Oryctolagus cuniculus: one gene and its partners. The protein of the gene in region 3 binds, or shares a complex with, the protein of the main gene of each other region. Links are inferred from orthologs where the notes say so. Each region holds a gene or a part of one and is shown on either strand. Other genes may lie near its edges.

Region 1 (7,011 bases), on a different chromosome or scaffold from region 3:
GAGTGTGTTCTCCAGGGGTCATATTATGATCTAAGCATCTGAAGACATTAGAGGTTACATGTTAATGGTAATGGACTACAACAGCTTGAAGTTATTACAACTATTACTGCTGTTAACAATGCACAAAAACTGCGTTTTTAAAAACATAATCGCCACAGTACCAATAATCAAACAGATAAACAACTTTATTTTTTACACTTAAAGGCTGATGAAAAACCACTACTAATCTTATTAAAGAAAATCCAACATTTCAACTGAAAACTATACTTATATATACTTAAATACTATACAGGTTTTCTCAAACACAACTTGAAAACATCAAACATACTTGTTTAATTTCAGTACAATGGATTCAAGACCAAGTACACATGACATGCATCAAGGTTAGATTACAAATTATCATAGTCATCATCATCATCATCGTCATCGTCATCATCATCGTCACGTTTTCTTTTCAATGCATTTGTTTCACTGGCAGTATTCTGTGATGACACCATATTAGTGGTAATAAGAATGTTTTTGGACCCAATTAACGATGGATTAATGAGAACATTCTGAACTGCTGATGTTGCAGGAATTGATGCCTTCACAGCGGGTGACTGTGAAGCAGGCATCTGTACTGTGAACCTCTGTCCTGTGAGGGACATTGGAGTAGCTACTTTAGTAGAAACAGACATGGTCTGTGGAGTTGGGGTGCCTAGTGTGGGAGTACTTGGTCTGCTAGTAACTGACCCAACACTTAACCGCGGAACCGTTATTCTTCCTGCAGAAGTAGACGCCTTTTTCTGCAAAGACTTAAGCCTATAGTTCGGAGCGGTTAAACAGTACCTATCAGGTGGCAATCTAGGACCTGAATATGGTTTGATCAATGGCAAAGGGGTTTGATTTCTTTGCCTTGCAATATCTAATAAAAAATCTCTTGGGGGAGGAGAAGTAAAAGACTGGTCAGCACGACACTGGATTGCCAACCGCACATCGTCTGCATCAACAGTAGCTTTCTTAGCATGGCTCGAATAAATCTTTGCATCATCTAGAATTGTGGTCACATATCGGAATGCAAACTCCAACATCTGATTTATAACTCTTGGCTCATATTCTGTAATCCCCATATCCTTCAGGATTTGTGCCATCATCTGTGCATCTTTCGGCATGCTCTTGGGAGAAGCCATCTTGCCAGACTCCATGATATCCGGTGATCAAACTTTAGATCACTTGAAAAAAATATGTATATTAGATCAAACTGAAAAACTTCAGTAGCAACTTCTAGGAACTTAGTTTTTTAAAATATGCGTTATATCCTTTAAAAAATAAATTTAAATTTTAAAACATGTTAAATATTTTTAATTTCAACAAGACACACTTAAAAGTTTCCTTTACTTACACTTACTGAGTTCCTACCCTGTTAAAAATCATTCTAGAGTATAAAAAGATGAAGACAAAAATAAAGGACTAACTAAAAAACTAGGGGAAAATATGGTTAAATCTGTAAAAACATGCACCGCTTTGAAATAATCTAATACTATAGAACAATCATATTCTACTGCTTGAATTCAAAATTAATCTTTCTAATGTTGTCAATTTACTCACTGTCCTATATATGTGTGGCATCACCCAAACCTCTGTGTTTGTCCAACTCAAAACATTCTCCTTCTGCCTCATATTCAGATCCCAAGTCCCAATTTCTTCATGGAAGCCTTCCTAATTATTTCTACTCACAAGAATTGCTAGCCAATTTGGGGAGAAGGAGGTGGAAATAATCAAAATAAAAAGGACACAGTATTGGACACTTAGTATCTTCTTTTTCTGTAGGCTCCGGATAGAGCACAAATTCCATAATAGGAATCTGTCTCTGCTTTTGTACCCTCTCACAATACCTAACAGTACCAATAATTCCACTAGCCGACTGCAAGAAAAACAAAAACAAAAACAAAAACAAAAACCCAACACTAAAGCATCCCCTTACCTTCTCGAGCTAAATCACCCACATTAACGTATTTCAGTCCTGATCTTGATGCAAGTTCTTTGCCTAGTGTGGTTTTCCCAACCCCTGGAGTACCTGTAAGACAAATCACAGAAAAATGCCTATGAAATACTATTATAGACTTCAACTACTTCCACCCTTTGTAAGGTTCTTAACAACTTTCCTAGTAGGAAAGCAACCAGATGTGAATATACAAAAATAGTAGTAAGCAACCAGATGTGAATATACAAAACCAACTAAACAAAATCTCCCAGGGCAGGTGTCTGTAGAGGTTAGGATGCCCACCTCCCATGTTTGAGTTTAGACTAAGTTCGGTATTTGGCTCTGACTCCTGACTTCAGCTTCCTGCCAATGCAGATCCCAGGAGGCAGAGGACTGCTCAAGTATCCAGGTAGCAGGACTGAGCTGACTTCCTGGTTTCTGGCAGCACAGGCATTTGGGGAGTCCATCAGTGGATGAGAACATGCATGAGTGCTCTCCCGAATTAAAAAAATTTTTCTGCAAAAAAGCTCTGGATGTCAGAATCACGCAATGTTTCTCCATGGGTGGGAATACAAATTCTGACTGCTGCCACCAACGTCAGACTGCCCACAATAAAATCAGCCACCTCAAATCAATTACTGTCATTTATTTGCTTTTATTTTAAAAGATTAAGAAATTGTTCATTGGCCGGCACCGCAGCTCACTAGGTTAATCCTCCGCCTGCGGCACAGGCACTCCGGGGTCTAGTCCCGGTGGGGGCGCCGGATTCTGTCCCAGTTGCTCCTCTTCCAGTCCAGCTCTCTTCTGTGGCCTGGGAGTGCAGTGGAGGATGGCCCAAGTGCTTGGGCCCTGCACCCCATGGGAGACCAGGAGAAGCACCTGGCTCCTGGCTTCGGATCGGCGCAGCGCGCCAGCCGTAACAACCATTTGGGGGGTGAACCAACAGAAGGAAGACCTTTCTCTCTGTTTCTCTCTCTCACTGTCTAACTCTGCCTGTCCAAAAAGAAAAAAAAAAAAAAAAAAAAAAAATTGCTCATGGAACAAACCTTAGTCTGGGAACCACTGTAACTAGTCTTTTGCATACCTTTCCGAAGAAGTCCTATGCATGTGTGTCTATACACAGAAGTAGGTGTAGGTAGCATATCCTATGTGCAAAAACACATGCCACTTGTATTGCCTTTTACATAAATGGTAATACTATGCATTGTTCTATACCTTTCCCCTTTTACGTCTAAAAGAATTATATTCCAAGATAATCAAACGCATAATTTTCAGCTTCTCAATGTTTAATGACACTTTAATGATTACATCTGAGCATTATTAACATGTATAAATCCAATCTCCACATGCAGGACATTTAACCCCTGTCTACTATATTATACCAAGTCTGAACCCTGGACTCAACTTTCATTAAAATATTCACACCAGATTTTTTTTTTACAGCATTAATCAGGACACTAATCCATGCAAATCAGATGCTGCAAAATCTTCATCATAATGAATCTCACAGGCTAAAAACTCACTAGCTGAGGGGCTACTGCGCAGCACCTAGGAACAATCTTTGTGGGCTGCCAAAAATGTCAAGTTTCGTTAAATGTTGAAGGGAAAAAACCTTTTCAGGGTTCAGGGCTGTGGAGTAGGGGCAAAGCCGCTGCCTTCCACTCCAGCACCCTGTACGAGTGCCCGTGGTGTCTGGCTGCTCCACTTCAGTCCGGCTCCCTGCTCAGGGCCGGGGGAAAGCAGTGGCAGACGGCTCAACTGCTTGGGCCCCTGCCACCCGTGCAGGAGACCCGGGTGAAGCTCCTGGCTTTGCCTGGCTCAGCCCCCGCCACTGCGATCCTGCCGGGAGTGAACCAGCGCAGCAGATGCGAGATCTGCGTCTCCTCCCTCCCTCTCCCTGTAACTTTCAAACAAACAAATCTTCAAAAAAAAAAAAAAAAAACACAACTCTTCACAATCTCTTAATACTTCGATACGCTCCATAGATTCCCCCACGAACGGCGCAGGACGCTCTCAACGGACACGTCTCAGGCCTAGAGGCCCAGCGTTCTAGCCGCTTCGCTGGCCACAGCGGGTCAGTGTCCGAGACCCGCAGGGGCTCACGAGCAGCCGGGGGCTCCACAGCGTGCGCTCCCATCACAAAGGGAGGCAGGCGCCTGGACACTACCCCAGCACACGGCCGCAGTGACTGCACGCGCTCCGCCACGCCGCCAGCACCCGCGCCCACCCGCGAAGGCCCACGACGCGAGGCCTCCGCCATGGCCGACACGCTTCCGCACGTTACCTCCGGGAAACCCCAAAGCAACCCGACCAGAGACGCCAAAGCTGGCTTTCCGAGCAGAACACCAGGGTCTCTATTATAAAGATAACGGAGCCTGCCCACACCGGAGCGCCGGGTCCCGGCCGGCTTCCCCGCGCCCCGCGGCCGCCCCCGCCCCGCGCCGCGTCCGCAGGCCCCGGCCACCGTCGCGCCCCGCGGCCCCCGCCCGGCCGCCCGCTGCAGCCCGGCGCTCCCCGCCCGGCGCCCGGAGCCCCCCGCGCGTCCCGTCCCCGCCGCGCGCCCTGACCGGTGAGCAGAATGTTCGGCAGCCGCATAGTCGTCCCGGCGGACGCCCCGAGCGCCTCCTCTGCGCGCGCCCTACGCACCGCGAGGAGGAGCCGGAAGGGGCGGGCAGCGCCAGCGCCGGCGGCCGCGGGGTCCTCGAGGCCGTGCCGGGCGCCCGCTCCCGGCCCAGCTCCGCAGTCCCAGCCGCCGCCAGCGGTTCCCTGGGCTTCTGTGACACGCTTCCGTGGCGTGAATGGAGGCCGGGAGCCAGCTCGCTGCGCGCTCTGAGTCAGGCAGTGCGCTGGATGCCTATGTCGCTCGCGCGCCTGGGGCCCCCGCCCTTCGCGCCGCGTCGCCGAGGCGCCGACGGGTGTGGAAGGACCCCGGGAGGCGGGACCCCCGAGAGGCTCGGTGCCGAGCCCGGGGAGGGTCGGGTGGCCACCCCAACACCGGAGCCGGCCCCGCGCTCCTTGGCTCCTCTCCGCCCACGAGGGAGGGGAATGCGGCTCCCGGAAAGTAAGGCCGTCGCGGTTGTGGCGGTGTTTTCTGTGTGTGTCCTGGACGCGCGAGCCCATCTCTGCCTCCATGCCCTCCCGTCCCGCCTGGGACGAGAGAGACGGGGTTGCGGTGCCCCGGCCTGGAGCGGGGACCGACGAGCTCAGCCTGGCTGCCGGCTGGTTGCAGGATGGCGCTGAACGAATGTCTGAGCTCAGGACCGGCTGTGCAGCGCGTGGGGTGGTGGTGGGTGGGCTCGGGATGGTCCTGAACGTGTCTTCTGCCTCTGACATCTAATTTCAGGAAACGGGCATCGTCGCTGACAGTTACCTGCTTTTCCAAGGAGGTAATTGTCGGTCTCGCTTTCACTGAGCGGCTGCAGTGCTGACTGTCGGCTACATTGAATCGATTTTTTTTTTTTTTTTTTTTTTTTTTTTGCTACTGTGCATTGCTGATAGCGGTCTACTCTCAGAGGTGAATGACTGCCAGTGTGTGGAAGTGTGCCTCCTCAGATAGTCCAGTACACCTTCCCAGGGTACAGTTTGTTGGCCTTGAAAATCGTTCCTCCTGGCGGCCCTAAAATGGTTGAATTCACTGCTTTCCATCAGTATTGACGAATCACGCAAATCGGAAAACAGTGATGCCAAGACGTTTTCTGATGGCGTGCTCAAAGGAAGTTCTAGAAAAACTGACAGTGAGATTCAACTGTTTTATTCAAAGTAACTGATATGTCTGAATTCATTGTATCTTGCCTTTTTTTGAAACTTTAGAAATGAAGATGTAATAGCTTGCAACGGATTGGAGTAAAGGAATAGTTTAATTTTTGGTGTTAAAAACTTCTCAGAATTGCCTGATTTTTCTTTTTGAGAGAAGGTCAGCACCCAAATATGTTGCTGTGTTTTCTCATAAAAAACATCAGATAGATTCCTCTAACTTGTTGTAACGTTCTGATTTTTCTCCTGTTTACCATGCTTGCTTTCACTAGTTCTTGAGCCTTGATGTTGTTATGTTGTTGGTTATATCGACTTAACTGTGCTTACAGTTCTTGACTTGAAGTGAGTTTTTCCTATTTCCTCTAGGTGATTTATACTTTGTTGTGCTACAGATTGTGTACTACGCATGGGAACTATTAAGATTTATGATGTCAAACACTTTTCTTAGACCAAAGGTGTCTTCCACAAAGGTATGTCACACTAAAATGGCCATGTGATAGTTACCTAAATGAATTAGGTGTTTTTACACATGCTCTTAATGACTGACTGCTATCAGAATAATGGTGCCCATTTTTTTTTGAAATTAGTGATCTAAACAAGTCTGTTAATAAGTTCTGGAACAACTGAACCTAAAAGCACAATTTTAATTTTGAAAAAGTGTTTGCAAGCCCAGTCACAAAGAAAAGGCTAAAAACTCTCGAATGAAAGAGCATAGAAAGGCCGGCGCCGCGGCTCACTAGGCTAATCCTCTGCTGTGGCGCCGGCACACCGGGTTCTAGTCCCGGTCGGGGCGCCGGATTCTGTCCCGGTTGCTCCTCTTCCAGGCCAGCTCTCTGCTGTGGCCAGGGAGTGCAGTGGAGGATGGCCCAAGTGCTTGGGCCCTGCACCCCATGGGAGACCAGGAAAAGCACCTGGCTCCTGGCTCCTGCCATCGGATCAGCGCGGTGCGCCGGCCGCGGCGGCCATTGGAGGGTGAACCAACGGCAAAAGGAAGACCTTTCTCTCTCTCTCACTGTCCACTCTGCCTGTCTCAAAAAAAAAAAAAAAAAGAAGAAGAAGAAGAAAGAGACACACGAATGGTGGTTGGTGATTCAGCTTAACCCCAGGCTGTACTTCGTTGCCCAGTGCGTGTCAGTTCTCAGAAAGATAGGGTGTGGGAGGGCATGGGGTCAGACAGTATCAATGTACCTGCATGGTAGCTGTTTTTCCTTGGTAGTATCTCTCATTTTCACTGATCTTAAGTAAATTATCAATTTCGCTGATTCTTTTTTCCAGTAGATTGGAATTCACATTTA
Region 2 (7,053 bases), on a different chromosome or scaffold from region 3:
CCTAACATAGCTTTCCACAGCTCTCAAGAAAAATACAAAAAAAGTTTTATTTAGGCTACCAGTTTGAGTTTTTAGTGACTTTCAGCCAAATTTACTCCTACCCAGGACAACTCCCCACTGCTCTTTACGACGAAGACCCTCAACATACCCTAAGAACCTGCTGTCACTCCAGTCCTAACCAATCCCTGAGCTTCCTGCTGTACCACACCCCCACTTCAGACCTTGCTCCTTTCAGTCTTTGCAGCTACCATGGTCCATTTTGCCACAGAGCTTTCAAACACTTTTCTCTCTTCTCTTCATATGGATAACTCTACCCAGTCTTTAGCTCTCACCTCAAGCATCGCTCCCTCTGGGATCCACCCCCCTCCGCGGCTCCCATTTTAGGTTCCTCTCCTTTATAAAGTACTTTCTGAGTTGCAATCTTAAATTTGCAGGATCACAGATATGTGTGTGTGTGTGTGTGTGTGTGTGTAATATATGGAAAAATTCACATACTTCTCAAAGAATGATTTTGCTTCATTCTCATGTTGATTGTAGACCAGCTCCAAGTACATGTGCACAAACAGAGGATAAAAGAGTTGGGATAACTCTGCCCGATGGCAGTCCAAAGAACATTCAATGAAGTGTTTGAGTCCACTATAGTATTCTTCATACATTGTCGGATCTCCTTGTTGGTTGTAGGCCGACAACACAGCACTGACATCTGGTTGGTCTTCCACAGCGACATTTCCAACTGTTAAAAAAATAAAAGATAACCTTTAAGAAAATGATATAATACGTACCATGTGACCATGGCTGTTTTGCTATGGTCCAGAGGTGAACTGTTTCTCAGATATTTGTCCCTTTTCTCTCAACCTCTCTTCCTTAAAATAATTACATAATCTTTTCATGAAATTCCACATTTGTCTCAGTTACCCAAGCCAAAACCCCATCAGCATGTCCATATCTTAAAATATCACATCAAGCTGGCGCCACGGCTCAATAGGCCAATCCTCCACCTAGTGGCACTGGCACACCGGGTTCTAGTCCCAGTCGGGGCGCCGGATTCTGTCCCGGTTGCCCCCCTTCCAGGCCAGCTCTCTGCTGTGGCCCGGGAGTGCAGTGGAGGATGGCTCAAGTGCTTGGGCCCTGCACCCCCTGGGAGACCAGGAGAAGCACCTGGCTCCTGGCTTCGGATCAGCGCAGTGCGCCAGCCGCAGCGCACCAGCTGCGGCGGCCACTGGAGGGTGAATCAACGGCAAAAGGAAGACCTTTCTCTCTGTCTCTCTCTCTCACTGTCCACTCTGCCTGTCAAAAAAAAAAAAAAATCACATCAATAACAAGAAGGTTTAATACCTTTTTTAATGGCGCTATCTGTTTTAAATGCAAATCGCATAAATGTAGGTATGGCCAAAGCAAAAAAACACATTAATCTCTCAAGGCTCAGTACAAATAGCACCCACCACCACCACCAGGACCACCAAACCGTGCCCTAGAGTAGCGCTCCAGGCTCTCCCAGCTACTCAGTACTTTGTAACATTCCTGTGATACATCCTATCCTGTATTACCTTCCTACATACACGTCTAAAGCCTCTATCTGCAGGGCCAGTATCCCACACGGGTGCTGCTGCTCCATGTCCAGTCTAGCTCCCTACTGATGTGCCTGGGAAAGCAGAAGATGGCCCAAGTCCTTGGGCCCCTGCACTAACATGGGAGACCCGGAAGAAGCTCCAGGCTCCTGGCTTCAGATCAGCCCAGCTCTGGCCATTGTGGCCATTGGGGAGTGAACCAGTGGATAGAAGACCTCTCTCTCTCCCTCTCTCTGTAACTCTGCCTTTCAAATAAATATTAAAATTAATAATATTTAATAATTTAATAATTAAAAGTAATAATAAATATTAAAAGTAAAATGTAGGCATTTTTAGAATGGGAAGGGCCACACCTAATTTTTTAAAATATATTTATTTATTTATTATTTGAAAGCAGAGGCAGAGAGAGAGAGAGAGAGAGGTCTTCCATCCACTGGTTCACTCCCCAAATGGCTGCAACAACCACAGATGGTCTGAGCCGAAGCCAGGAGCCAGGAGCTTCTTCCAAGGCCTGAGGATCTGGGCCAGCTTCTACTGCTTTCTCAGGCCACAGAAGAAAGCTGGACTGAAGTGGAGCAGCCAGGACTTGAACCCGTGTCCATATGGGATGTTGGCACTGCCCCACACCTAAAACTAACTCAATTGTATATGCTTAAAGCAATTTCCATAACCACTATTTCAAGGAAGAAGACAAAGTATCTATTTCTTTTTCTTTTTTCTTTTATTTTTTTTGACAGACAGAGTTAGACAGTGAGAGTGAGAGAAAGGTCTTCCTTTTTCCGTTGGTTCACCCCCTAAGTGGCCACTACGGCTGGAACGTTGCACCGATCCAAAGCCAGGAGCCAGGTGCTTCCTCCTGGTCTCCCATGCAGGTGCATCCTCCACTGCCTTCCTGGGCCACAGCAGAGAGCTGGCCTGGAAGAGGAACAACCGGGACAGAATCCAGCACCCCAACTGGGACTAGAACCCAGGGTGCCGGCGCCGCAGGCAGAGGATTAGCCTACTGAGCCGCATCGCCGGCCCAGAGTATCTATTTCTAATATAGGAATATCAAAGTTACATCTGTCAATCAAATTACTTTGGGTAAGTGGAAATTTAAATTGCAATAATAATACAGTTACGCTTTCTATGGCATAAATGTAATTCTTTGGGTTACTCTAATGGCCTCTTTTCCTCCTTACTGACTTCTCAATTATGATCTAAAAACTGATTTAGTTTCAGAATCAAGAGATGACAGTAAAATAACCAACAATATAACTCATTTTATAGTTCATTCACAAAATTCAATATTAAGAAGAAATTCCTCCCAACCACATTTTGGGCATTTCTATCTATGAAATACAACACTATGTATTCAAACTTCACTTCTGGCAATGCTGCAAAGATTAGGTCACATAAATACAGATTAATTTGGCTAGAGGCTCTGCAACATATAATTTAATTCAATGAATATTTATTGTTGGTTCAGGATCACCTTCAAGATCTTACATTGTGTATGAATTGTACTGCAAAGACTTATGACATTTACTGGAAGAAAGGTGTGGTCTCGGGTGTCAGGGATGGAGAGGAAAGAGCCTATCAGCACAAGGCATTTTACAGATATTACATCTGAGTCTCATAAAAACTCAGTTAATAGAAAAAAAAAAAAGTAACCTTAGGAAAAAATGAGTCAATCAACATCACACAAGTAAAAGCAGCAGAGACAAAGAGGTCTGTCCACCTTATGGCTCCTAAAACTTAGAGTTCTCAAACTTCACGACCCATCCATACTTCTTGGAAGCACCAACTCAAAAACGCAGGTTCCCAGACTCTACCTCTAAGGGTCTGATTCCCTCCGTCTGAAATGATGCCCCGAAGACACAGCACTGCTGGTGCCTAGCCCGTATTTTGAGAAATGCTGGGTACACCATGTTCCATCACTCCCTGGCTACCGAGACCCAAGGCAAGCTCCTTGGGATCGCTCAAGAAATCTGTTTCCTTGTCTCCAAAATAGAGGTCATGTCCGCCTCAATGAAACTGTGAGAACCGAGACTGCCAAGTATTTACAGCTTAAAATACGCCAGTACAGAATTCCACAAAGACTGTCGCTGTCAATGCAGACTTGCCCAAAGCTTAAAAGCCCAAACGGGAGAAAAGGGGCCGAAGCCTGGAGGTCCCCGCCTCCCCGCGCCCACCTTCCCCACACAGCTCAGATCCACAGCTCTGTTCAGCCTCTCGCTGCAACTGACAGCTCAGACGAGGGTTGACTGCGCAGCCGGCGCACTCGGGAAAGGGGCGGGCATGTGGCCCTAGAGGCGGGCCCAGGAAATTCAAAACAAGCCCGCAGAGGTGCAGGCCTGCCAGCCCTCGCCTTCCCGGCTAGCTCCCCTTCGCGCCGGCCCGGCTTCCCCGGGACCCCCCGGCTCACCTTTCCCCGGAGCCGCAGGACCTGAGGCTGAGCCGGAGACAACCGTCGCCCCCGAAGCGCCGGTGCCCGGAGGGTCGGGGGCCGCCGGGCCGGGGGCCGAGGCGGTGACCCGGCTGAGAAGCGAGCTAGCCGCCTCAGCGCCGGCGCCGTCCACCTCTCCCGGGGCTCCGGAGCCCGCTACTGCCTCTTCCAGCAGCCGGGCCTCGCGGCGCAGCGCCTCTTCGGCCTCGCGGAGGTTGCTCTGCCGTAGAAACTGCAGCACCGCCAGCAGAGTCTGTCGGTCGTGGGGAGCACCAGCCTCCGAGGCAGCGGCAGGTACCGGAGCCGCCCCCGCCGGGGCAGCAGCGGAGACAGCCACCGCGGGCTTGGGGGTCCCGCCATCCCCGCCGGCCGACGACGCCGCCGCAACGTTCCCGCCACTGCCGTTGGGGCCGTTGTTGGTAATGCCGACGGTGCCCTCGCCTGTGCCGTCACCCGCCTGCGGAGGTAGCAGCGTCGGTGGTCCCTCAGACTCTAGCTTGACCGCCACCTCCGTCTGCTCCTCCGCCAGCGCCGCCATCTTGCGGCTGAGCCACCTCGCGCCGTCAAGCGTGATTGCGTTTTCGCCACATGGAGGGCGGGGAGGAGCATTTCACGACAGCTCTGGTCGGCTATTTACGGCAGTAGGAGGAGCGAGAGAGAAGGAGAAAAGGGCTGGGAGCGAGAGCAACTTTCAAAAAATGAGCGAAAGGCCGGCAGGAAGTGGGAGTTGGTGACCGCCTCTATATTTGCCTGACCATAATTACTGTTTATTGCAGGCCAGTTATATTCAGGCACTGTGATAGACGATCTTCGTTATTATATGGAAGCCTTTAATTCAACAGTCTTTAGAAGTGGCTTAACTACAACCCAGAGAGGTTAAATAACTTGCTGAAGTCACACACAAGAAGTCTTAAGTGTCACGACTCAAAGCCATGTTCTTAGCACTAAAGCACGCGTCGTTTGCCCGAAGGATGCTTCCAAGATACTGCTAATGTTTTGCATTTTGATGTGGATAGTGGTTACTTCCTTTTTTTTTTTTTTTTTTTTTTGGCAGTTCTTACAAATCGAGTTGCATGCTTAAATAATTTTGTGAACGTTACAGCATACATATAAATATTTTAAAGATTTATTTTTTTATTTGAAAGAGATAGAGACAGAGAACGAAGTCTTCCATCTGGTTCACTCCCCAGTTGGCTGCAATGGCCAGAGCTAAGCTGAGCTGATCCAGAGCCAGGAGCCGGGAACTTCTGTTGGGTCTCCCACGTGGGTGCAGGGGCCCAAGTACATGGGCCATCTTCCACTGCTTTCCCAGGTGCATTAGCAGAGAGCTGGATCAGAAGACTTGGGCACTGGAACCAGCACCCATATGGGATGTTAGCACTGCAGGCCGGGGCTTTAACCCTGTGAGTCATAGCACTGGCCTCAGCATATATATATATATATATATATATATATATATATATATACATACATATACATTTAAGATTTTTATTTCTTTATTTGAGAGGTAAAGTTACAGACAATGAGAGGGAAAGGCAGAGAGAAAGGTCTTCCTTCCGTTGGTTCACTCCCCAAATGGCCACAACAGCCGGAGCTGTACCCATCTGAAGCCAGGAGCCAGGTGCTTCTTCCTGGTCTCCCATGCAGGTGCAGGGGCTCAAGGATTTGGGCCATCCTCTACTGCTTGCCCAGACCATAGCAGAGAGCTGGGTTGGAAGAGGAGCAGCTGGGACATGAACCAGCGCCCATATGGGATACCAGCAGTGCAGGCAGAAGATTAACCTACTGCACCATGGCACTGGCCCCAGCATATACATTTCAATAAAAAGTTTTAAAGTACTGGAAGTTTGTGATTGTGAAATTTGTACGTTGTATATTCCAACTGCTATCCATTATTACAAGTAAATTGTATATTTTAACTGTTTGAAAGAGAGATCATCCATCTGCTGGCCCAAAATACCTGCAACAACCAGGCCAGGGACAGCTGAAACCAGGCACCCAGAACTCAATCTGGATCTCCCACTTGGGTACTAAGGATCCAACCATTTGGGCCCTCACTTGCTGTCTTCCAGAGTGCCCACTAGCAAGGAAGCTGGAATGAGAAGTAGAGCCAGGACTCAAACCCAGGTACACCAATGTGATATACAGGTATTGCAAGCATCATCCTACCAGCTGCCCCAGGTGTCCTCCCCCACTAGTAGTTGGTTTAACTTCACCTTAAAAGGTATTCTGTAGGAGTTGGTGCTATGATGTATCGGCATAGTAGGCTAAGCCTCCGACTGCAGCAGCAGAATCCCATATGAGCGGTGGTTCGAGACTTGGCTGCTCCACTTCCAATCCAGCTCTCTGCTATGGCCTAGGAAAGTAGAAAAAGATGGTCCAAGTGCTTGGGCCCCTGCATCTGCTTGGGAGACCTGGAAGAAGCTCTTGGCTCCTGGCTTTAAATCAGACCAGCTCTGGCTGTTGCAGCCATTCGAGGAATGAACCAGCAGATGGAAGATCTTTCTCTCTATGCCTCCCTCTCTCTGTAACTCTACCTCTCAAATAAATAAATCTTTTTAAAAAAAAGTATTCTGTAAATGTTTAATCAAAAATTGAATCCTTGCCATCCACTGGAAAGCTTCAGATTAAGCTCCTGATTTCTGGCTTTGGCTTGGCGCAGACCTGGCTGTTGCATGTACTTGGGAAGTGAAAACTGAAGCATGATTTCCCTCTCTCTCTCTCTCTCCCTCCCTCCCTCTCTCTCTCCCTCTCCCTCTTTATCTCTCTCTTTTTTTAAGAATTTTTTATTTATTTATTGGAGAGGTAGAGTTACAGACAGTGAGAGGGAGAGACAGGGAAAGGCCTTCCCTCCACTGGTTCACTCCCCAAATGGCTGCTACAGCCAGAGCTGCACCAATCTGAGGCCAGGAGCCAGGAGCCTCCTCCAGGTCTCCCACGTGGGCGCAGGGGCCCAAGCACTTAGGCCATCCTCCACTGCCTTCCCAGGCCATAGCAGACAGCTGGATTAGAAGAGGAGCAGCCAGGACCAGAACCAGCACCCATATAGGATGCCGG
Region 3 (7,217 bases):
TTGAAAATCTGAAAAAGTATATGCCCAATTTATTGTACCCAAACATATATACTTAGAGTAAATGCTGCGATAGCATTAATTTTTTCTATATTTATAATGAGCTAACACCACTTTTATAATCAGAAAATATAATAAAGCTATTTCCATTTTCACAAAAATTATGTCCTAGAGGTAGAACTGTTGATATGAGAAATGCCATATATAATAGGAAAAGCAGGTTATGAAATAGGACTTTTATTTTTAAAAAAGATTTATTTATTTATTTGAAAGGCAGAGAGATCTTCCATTTACTGGTTCACTCCCCAAATGGCCACAAGAGCCAGGTCTGGGCCAGGTGGAAGCCAGGCACCAAGAACTCCTTCCTGCTCTCCCACATGAGTGGCAGCGAGTCCAAGTACTCGGGGCATCTGCTGCCTTCCATTAGCAGGAGCTGGATGGGAGTGGAGCAGCCAGGACCCAAACTGACACTGCAGAATGGGATGCCAGAGTTGCAAGCAGCAGCTTAGGCCACTGTGTCACAATGCTGGCTCCAGTATTTGACATTTTGCAAAACAAAACAAAAACCTTGTAAAAACTTATTAATTTTATAAGTTATATGTGTAGAGAAAACACCTGGGATCATATACATTAAAGTATTGGCAGTATATACCTCTTGGTGGCAGGGCGATGAGTTTTCTTTTTACTTATTCACATTTTCTATACTATAACAATGTATTAATTAGTTTATTTCCTCTTGAGTTAGAAATGTAGAGGCCAAGACAAATTTATTAAATTTGTGTGGTCAGGCTGGAGCTCTGAAAAGGGGAAGGAACAAAAAGAGACTTACTGCATCTTCTGAATCTCATCTTCATCCACTTTCTGCTTCTTCTCTTTCTTTTCTTTGGTATCGATTTTCAGTTTTTTGGCTGCAGGAGTAAGTAATGACGCGTCTTCCCTTTCACCTGCTGTTAAATCGGAGACGTCCTGACTTTTGAGCTGGGAAGATGAAAAGAACTCTATTATATATTTGTCCTACTTTCCAGGCTTGGCTAAGGTTAAGACATCATCCTCATAACACAACAGATCCACTTATTGTGTAGTTTTTTTGTCCCAGAACTGACTGTTCCACCCAGTATAAGATACAGTATCTCTCCTCAAGGAAGGTTAGTTAGGCTGTAGAAAGAACCAGTTAAATAATCTAGTTTTCCAGTTTAGCTATGATCACAGCTTCAGTGTCTGTATACAAGGATAAAGAAATGGCCAAGATCATGAAAACCACTCTCTCCATGGACTCTCTCTCCTGCTCATTCCTTACAGGGGATGTCACCAAAGCCCTCTCCAGCCAGCCAGCTCTTCTCCTCTGGATCCAAAGATATTTTTACTATTGACGATTCAATTTAGAAAGATTATTAAAAAGGAGGCCCTGGAGTGAAAATCTGAGATGCTGGTTGGGATGTCCATGTCCCCTATTAGAGTGTCTGAGCTGTTTTGGGCATTTGGAGTGTGAATCAGCAGATAGGCCATTTTTTTTTTCTAATAAGTACATTCTTTGAAAATCAAAAATATGTAGGGGCCAATGCTGTGGCATAGTGGGTTAAGCTGCTGTCTGCAGCACTGGCATCTCATATGAGTGCCAGTTCAAGTCCTGGCTGCTCTACTTCTGATCCAGCTCCCTGCTAATGTGCTTGGGAAAGCAGCAGAAGATGGCCCAAAGATGGCCCAAGTCCTTGGGCCCCTGCACCCATGTGGGAGACCTGGAAGAAGCTACTGACTCCTGGCTTCAGCCTGGCCCAGCTCTAGCCACTGTGACCATTTGGGGGAATGAACAGGCAGATGGAAGCTTGCTCACTCCCCACCCCCCACCCCCAACTTTGTGATTCTGACTTAAAGAATATTAATAAATATTTTACATACTTACATGCATTATGTTACATATTTAAAGCTAATCCACAGTGCTGGCCCCAACATAATCAATTTTTATCGAAAGGCAGAGTTACAGAGAGAGGGAGAGACAGAGTTCTTCCATCTGCTAGTTCACTCCCCAATTGGTCACAACCACCAGGGCTGGGCCAGGTGGAAGCCAGAAGTCCTACATGGGTGCAGGTGCTCAACTTGGGCCACCTTCAGCTGCCTTCCCAGGCACATCAGCAAGGGCCTAGACTGGAAGCGGAGCAGCCAGAACTGAACCAGTGCCCATATGGGATTCTGGGGTTGCAGGTAGCTTAACCTGCTGTGCCACAATGCTGGTCTTTGATTAATTTTTTTTTTTTTTTTTTTTTTTTTTTTTTTTTACAGGCAGAGTGGACAGTGAGAGAGAGAGAGACAGAGAGAAAGGTCTTCCTTTGCCGTTGGTTCACCCTCCAATGGCCGCCGCGGCCGGCGCGCTGCAGCCGGCGCACCGCGCTGATCCGATGGCAGGAGCCAGGTGCTTCTCCTGGTCTCCCATGGGGTGCAGGGCCCAAGGACTTGGGCCATCCTCCACTGCACTCCCTGGCCACAGCAGAGGGCTGGCCTGGAAGAGGGGCAACCGGGACAGAATCTGGCGCCCTGACTGGGACTAGAACCCGGTGTGCCGGCGCCGCAAGGCGGAGGATTAGCCTAGTGAGCCGCGGCGCCGGCCTAATTTTTAAAAATGTTTCAAAAGCATCATAATTCTATCCTCTGCTGGCTCCAAACTTCTATATTGTAGTGAGCTCCTTTAGTGGACCATGCTAATTATTCAATTCCTTTGCGTCCTTGAGACCCATTTTAACTTTTCCTTCTTCAGCTTTGTCAACTGTCTTCTCTTTTTCTAAAAGCTTACCGTGTATGTTTTGGTGACAAGGCTATCCATCTAACGTTCAGTCCATGAGCTCTTCAGTTCCTTCTGCCTCTAAGATCCTAGAAATTCTCTCTTTAGAAAAGGAACCCACAGGACGCTGAGATTCTGGTCGCGATTGTTGCGCGGTTAGGCAACCCTGCTGAGCTATCCTGAGAGCACAGCTGATGGATTTGGTGTTTTTACGTTATAGAAACCCCTGGACATTAGCACGGAGGACACTGCAGCAGCTGGATGAGAATATGACTTCAAAGTCTCCCGTTAACAGATCTGATCAACTCTGCCTCCTGTAAAGACGAAAGCTGTACTTAAACAACAATTAACTAAGAGGACCTATAGTGCGGTGAAAGGCGCGCTGGGAATCCTGGATTTTGGCTCTTGCACTAAGTCTCGGGATGACAGTACCGACTTCATCAATAGGAAAACCAAGAAGCTATTTAAAATTCACTTAGATGTAGCTTTAATCCCGAAAGGCAAGGACTAAACATATTAAAACCTAATGCTCGAGTCTCTGGAACCAAACCAGCACCACAGTTTTGTTGCTCCTCCCACACTCCCCGGACGGCAGATCTAGAGGGAATCGTGGCGAGCTCCGGGTAACACAATCCCGGCGTATGCCTCCAACCTCAGTCACACTTCTCTGCCTACCTCGCCTTCCTCCGCTGCCGCTTCTTTCAAGTCCGCGTCTCCGTCTCCGTCCGCTTCCTCCGGGATCCCGTCCGTGTCCGCAGTCCCCGGGCCCCCAGGAGCAGCAGTCGTCTCGTCTGACTCCCCTGCTTCCCCACCTTTGTCCGCAGGAGACTCGCGGGCATTGTCCATCACAGCTAGAACGGCAAGGGGAGGAGATCGCGGTGCTGTCGGCCGCGGAGCTCCGGACCTCGCGCGGCACAGTGGGCGCTTACTTCCTGTCGTCGCACCGCGATGTCGTCACCACTACTGGTCCTCGGAAGGGCCATGGGGGGCGCGCGGAGCACCTGAGGGCTCCGTTTGAATCCTGGGTGGGTGGTGCTGGAGAGAGAACGCTGAGGGTGCAAAGTCCCCTGTGGATCCGTCCTTGGAGACCAGCACCTGTGAAGAAGTGCAGTTGTGCTTCCTGAAGGGTTTCTTTTTCCTTTCCGTCGTTCTAAGAATGCTTTGTCAGTTAACCTCTTCCTCAAAGTTGGAGGACCTGGGAGAAAACTGCTCCTTTTGTACGCGGCTGTCGCGTAACCTTGGGGTAGCAAACTTTCAGGCAGGGACTCAACCTCCTTTATTTCACCTGGACAGACTGCGGGCCTGACTTTACATTGAATTGCCACCATTTCCCCTCTACGAATATTTCACGAGCACCTTAAAAAAAAAAAGTCCTATTGCTTGAGCAGTGTTTATCCAACCCATTCATTCACTCCACGAGTGTTGACTGCCTGTTTCTGAGTCCGGAGCAGCGCTAGTACAGGGAAAAAACATTTTCTACCGAATTAAATGATTTTTCCAGTTCGCCAGTGCTGAAAATCGGGATAGGTTTCTCAAGCCTGACTTCTGTTACCCACTCAGTCTCATCATGAGGAATCCCTACAGGGTGGGAGGTCTCTCCTTTGAGCGCTTCACTTTAATGAGCCATTTCACGGATTGGGATGGTGAAGGGGCTAGGATATTTCTGCTTTTAAAATGTCCTGCCTTTTTTCATTGAGGCACGCGGAGGGAGGGGCAGGGCGTTTTATTCACCTCTGTATTACCAGGCTCCCGCACCTGTTACATACTGCTTTATGCTTAAAGAACGGACTTGGAAATGTAGGTGCGTATTACCATATTTCTCTCTTTGTTTCCACACCGCCGGGACGAATTACCGTATTTCCTGTCCCGTGAGCTCCCAAAACCTTTGGAAAAGAAGCGCACTTTGGAGGCGTACACAGGTGGGTCCCCTTTGTCCCTTTCCACTTCTTCAATGGGTACCCACATGGCACTGCCCCATTGACCCCCAAGTCCTGTCCTGACACACCAAGGTCCACCTGCACAGGGACGCGGAGCCCCGCCCAGCTAGGTGGGCAAGGGGGCGGGGCATGGGGGCGCGGTGACGCGTGACGCCGGATCCCGGAAGTGACGCGCTCGTGGGGAAAAGGCGGGGGGGGAGGGGGGTGGTGTCCCCGGCCGGTTTAGGGGGTGCGTTGCCCGGAGACGGAAAGTTTGGGAGCCGAGCCGGCTCCACGGTGGCCCCGGGGTGGGGGGTCCTGGGGTGGCGGCCCTGGGGATGGGGAAGGAGCAGGAGCTGCTGGAGGCGGCCCGCACCGGGCACCTCCCGGCCGTGGAGAAGCTGCTGTCCGGGAAGCGGCTCTCCTCAGGCTTCGGGGGTGGCGGCGGCGGCTCCTCTGGGGGCAGTGGCGGCGGCGGCGGCGGCGGCGGCGGCCTCGGCTCTTCCAGCCACCCTCTCTCCAGTCTGCTCAGGTGGGTACGCGCCGGGGCCCGGCAGCCGCCTGGAGACCCCCCCCCCGCCCGCCCGTACGTCTTTTAGGTCCCTGGAGAGGTCGGGCTCCCGAGACCCGGCGGGGTGGGCTCGCGGCGTACTCGGGGAGCGAGGGCAGGCGGCCGGCGGGACAGGAAGCCGGAGGGGGCGCGGGTCCGAGTTGGCGCGGCGCTCCGCTCTCCTTGTCTCTCGGTCCTGACCCGGGTGCGAAGAATGGTGGGAGTGCCCAGGTGGCCGCTCCGCCGCATGGCACAGCCCGGCGTCACCCTCGCCCGCTGTGGGATGCCAGCTGTCGTTGCTTCACAAAAGCCACTTGAGAGCAAATGATCTGTGTGTGTGTATGGGACCTCCCTCACCTCCTGCAGAAGCTCCCACGGCTTGCAGAATGCCGCGGCTCTGCTGGAGGGGATTCCCTTCCCGCAGGAGCCTGCAGCCTTCCGCCAGGCTGTGCAGAACCTGGCTTCTGTTTATATCAGAATTGTCTCTGGATCGGTCACGTTCGGAGAGTTCGTCTTGGAGCCCCTCTCGTGCTTGAGGCTCGAATTGTGGTTCCTTGTAATGAGCCTCCTTGCAGGGTTCTTCTGGGGTCTGTTCATCAAGAAGTGAAAGTTTAGGAAGACTTGGTTGGGAAATGGAGGGGCGCTTTAAAATTTTCTGGGGTCTGTTGTTGGACACTTGAATCCGAAGCTGTGAGGTTCGAGAGGGGAAAATGAGTTCTGTGTCGCTTGGAAGGGGGATTGGAGATGCTTTGTCATTGAGTAAAATATGTTGGTTCAGCAGCACTTTCATAGCCTGTTTTCCTTCCTTGTTCTTTTGAGGTTTTTAAGAAGTGGAAGTTCATTTAGAAATGGCTTCGTTAGCTTCTGTTCCCCATTAATTTATGTTACTTCGATTTGGGTGAGCTTGGACCAAAAAAAGAAGCCCGAGTCAAGTATTTTAAGCACTGAGTACCAACCACGGTCTTCACAGGAAGATTTGGAAAGGCAGTGTAAGACAAGAACCCTTCCCGGGAGTTTCCTTAAGGAAAGAACAAACAAGCAGAGCAGTACCGTTTCCTGCTGTTTTGCCAGCCCTTACAATACTGGCCTATAGTAGATACGGATGATTTATCAAATCATACAAGTGTCAGCTGGAGGACCGCAGATTTCCAAGTCAACTGATGGCGGTACTTACCATAGTTGTTGGTAGTTCAGAGAACACTTTGGGATGGGGAGGAGATCACCTCTTGCAGGAAGAGTGGGACTTAAGATGATTTGGGTAAATGAAGTATAATGGGAGTGTTCCAGGTGGGCACCCCTTCATCGGAGGCAAAGAAGTGAGAAAGTTGGCCTATTGGGTACTTGTGGGGCACTGGGAGAAGAACTTCCTACTGGGACTTTTGAGTAGTTGGGCACGATACGGTAAATAAGAATGGACGCGTATTCTTCCAGCTATCAAAGTGACAGTCTTTGTCAGGCTTATTTCTCCTGTCCTTAGAGGTGCTCAATAATTTCACACTGAACACATGAATTGAGCTTTGAACTTTGATTACTTTGATACTGTGCAGTTCTGACGTCTAAGCAGTGAGGGAAAGACTGTACATGATTGGAGGTGCCTCTGCCTCTAATGAGTTGATGATGCAGCTTTTGGAGGTTTGCCAGAGACACCTTAACCCCCACCCAGCCTGTGCTGCTGAAGTGAGACACTTTTGCATTACCTCCTGCCTCTAAGTACAGGTCAGATTTTTCTTAGTGCTCCTCCTCAGACACTTGAAATTCTGCTGTAGTTTTAACTGCCATGCAGTTAAGCAAGACCAGGAAATATGTTGAGCAGAATGTTTTTATTCTGGGCCTCCTGCTGATGTGTCCATTCCCTGCCGTACAGCGTGGGTGGTGTCTTGGTTCCCTGGAGTTGAGAGAGCTGACTCCTTCTGACTTGCTCCTGTGTCTGTTACAGATGTTAGATGCTTAACAGCTTGCCCAGCCTCTCCTTCCTGTGACT

What was found. The genes of interacting proteins can lie anywhere in the genome.
Region 1: TAF11 (region 3) and TAF9 share a complex: the UniProt entries of both Homo sapiens proteins name them as parts of the TFIID basal transcription factor complex. The link is inferred for Oryctolagus cuniculus from reciprocal best matches to the Homo sapiens genes TAF11 and TAF9.
Region 2: TAF11 (region 3) and TAF5 share a complex: the UniProt entries of both Homo sapiens proteins name them as parts of the TFIID basal transcription factor complex. The link is inferred for Oryctolagus cuniculus from reciprocal best matches to the Homo sapiens genes TAF11 and TAF5.

Annotation. Positions count from the first base shown.
Region 1 is NC_091445.1:90,325,167-90,332,177, forward strand, and holds TAF9 (transcription initiation factor TFIID subunit 9), read right to left. Parts: upstream 4,578-7,011; 5' UTR 4,531-4,577; exon of another isoform or gene 4,458-4,530; intron 4,240-4,457; exon of another isoform or gene 4,224-4,239; coding exon of another isoform or gene 3,932-4,223; intron 2,057-3,931; coding exon of another isoform or gene 1,964-2,056; intron 1,212-1,963; 5' UTR 1,185-1,211; coding exon 390-1,184; 3' UTR 168-389; downstream 1-167. Other genes in the region: AK6 (adenylate kinase isoenzyme 6), read right to left, coding at 1,964-2,056, 3,932-4,223; cell cycle checkpoint protein RAD17, read left to right, coding at 4,814-5,024, 6,083-6,186. UniProt on the Homo sapiens protein: The TFIID basal transcription factor complex plays a major role in the initiation of RNA polymerase II (Pol II)-dependent transcription.
Region 2 is NC_091446.1:26,644,249-26,651,301, forward strand, and holds the start of TAF5 (transcription initiation factor TFIID subunit 5), read right to left. Parts: upstream 4,578-7,053; 5' UTR 4,535-4,577; coding exon 3,976-4,534; intron 734-3,975; coding exon 496-733; intron 1-495. UniProt on the Homo sapiens protein: The TFIID basal transcription factor complex plays a major role in the initiation of RNA polymerase II (Pol II)-dependent transcription.
Region 3 is NC_091436.1:134,547,491-134,554,707, reverse strand, and holds the start of TAF11 (transcription initiation factor TFIID subunit 11), read right to left. Parts: upstream 3,726-7,217; 5' UTR 3,617-3,725; coding exon 3,446-3,616; intron 976-3,445; coding exon 827-975; intron 1-826. Other genes in the region: ANKS1A (ankyrin repeat and SAM domain-containing protein 1A), read left to right, coding at 5,025-5,218. UniProt on the Homo sapiens protein: The TFIID basal transcription factor complex plays a major role in the initiation of RNA polymerase II (Pol II)-dependent transcription.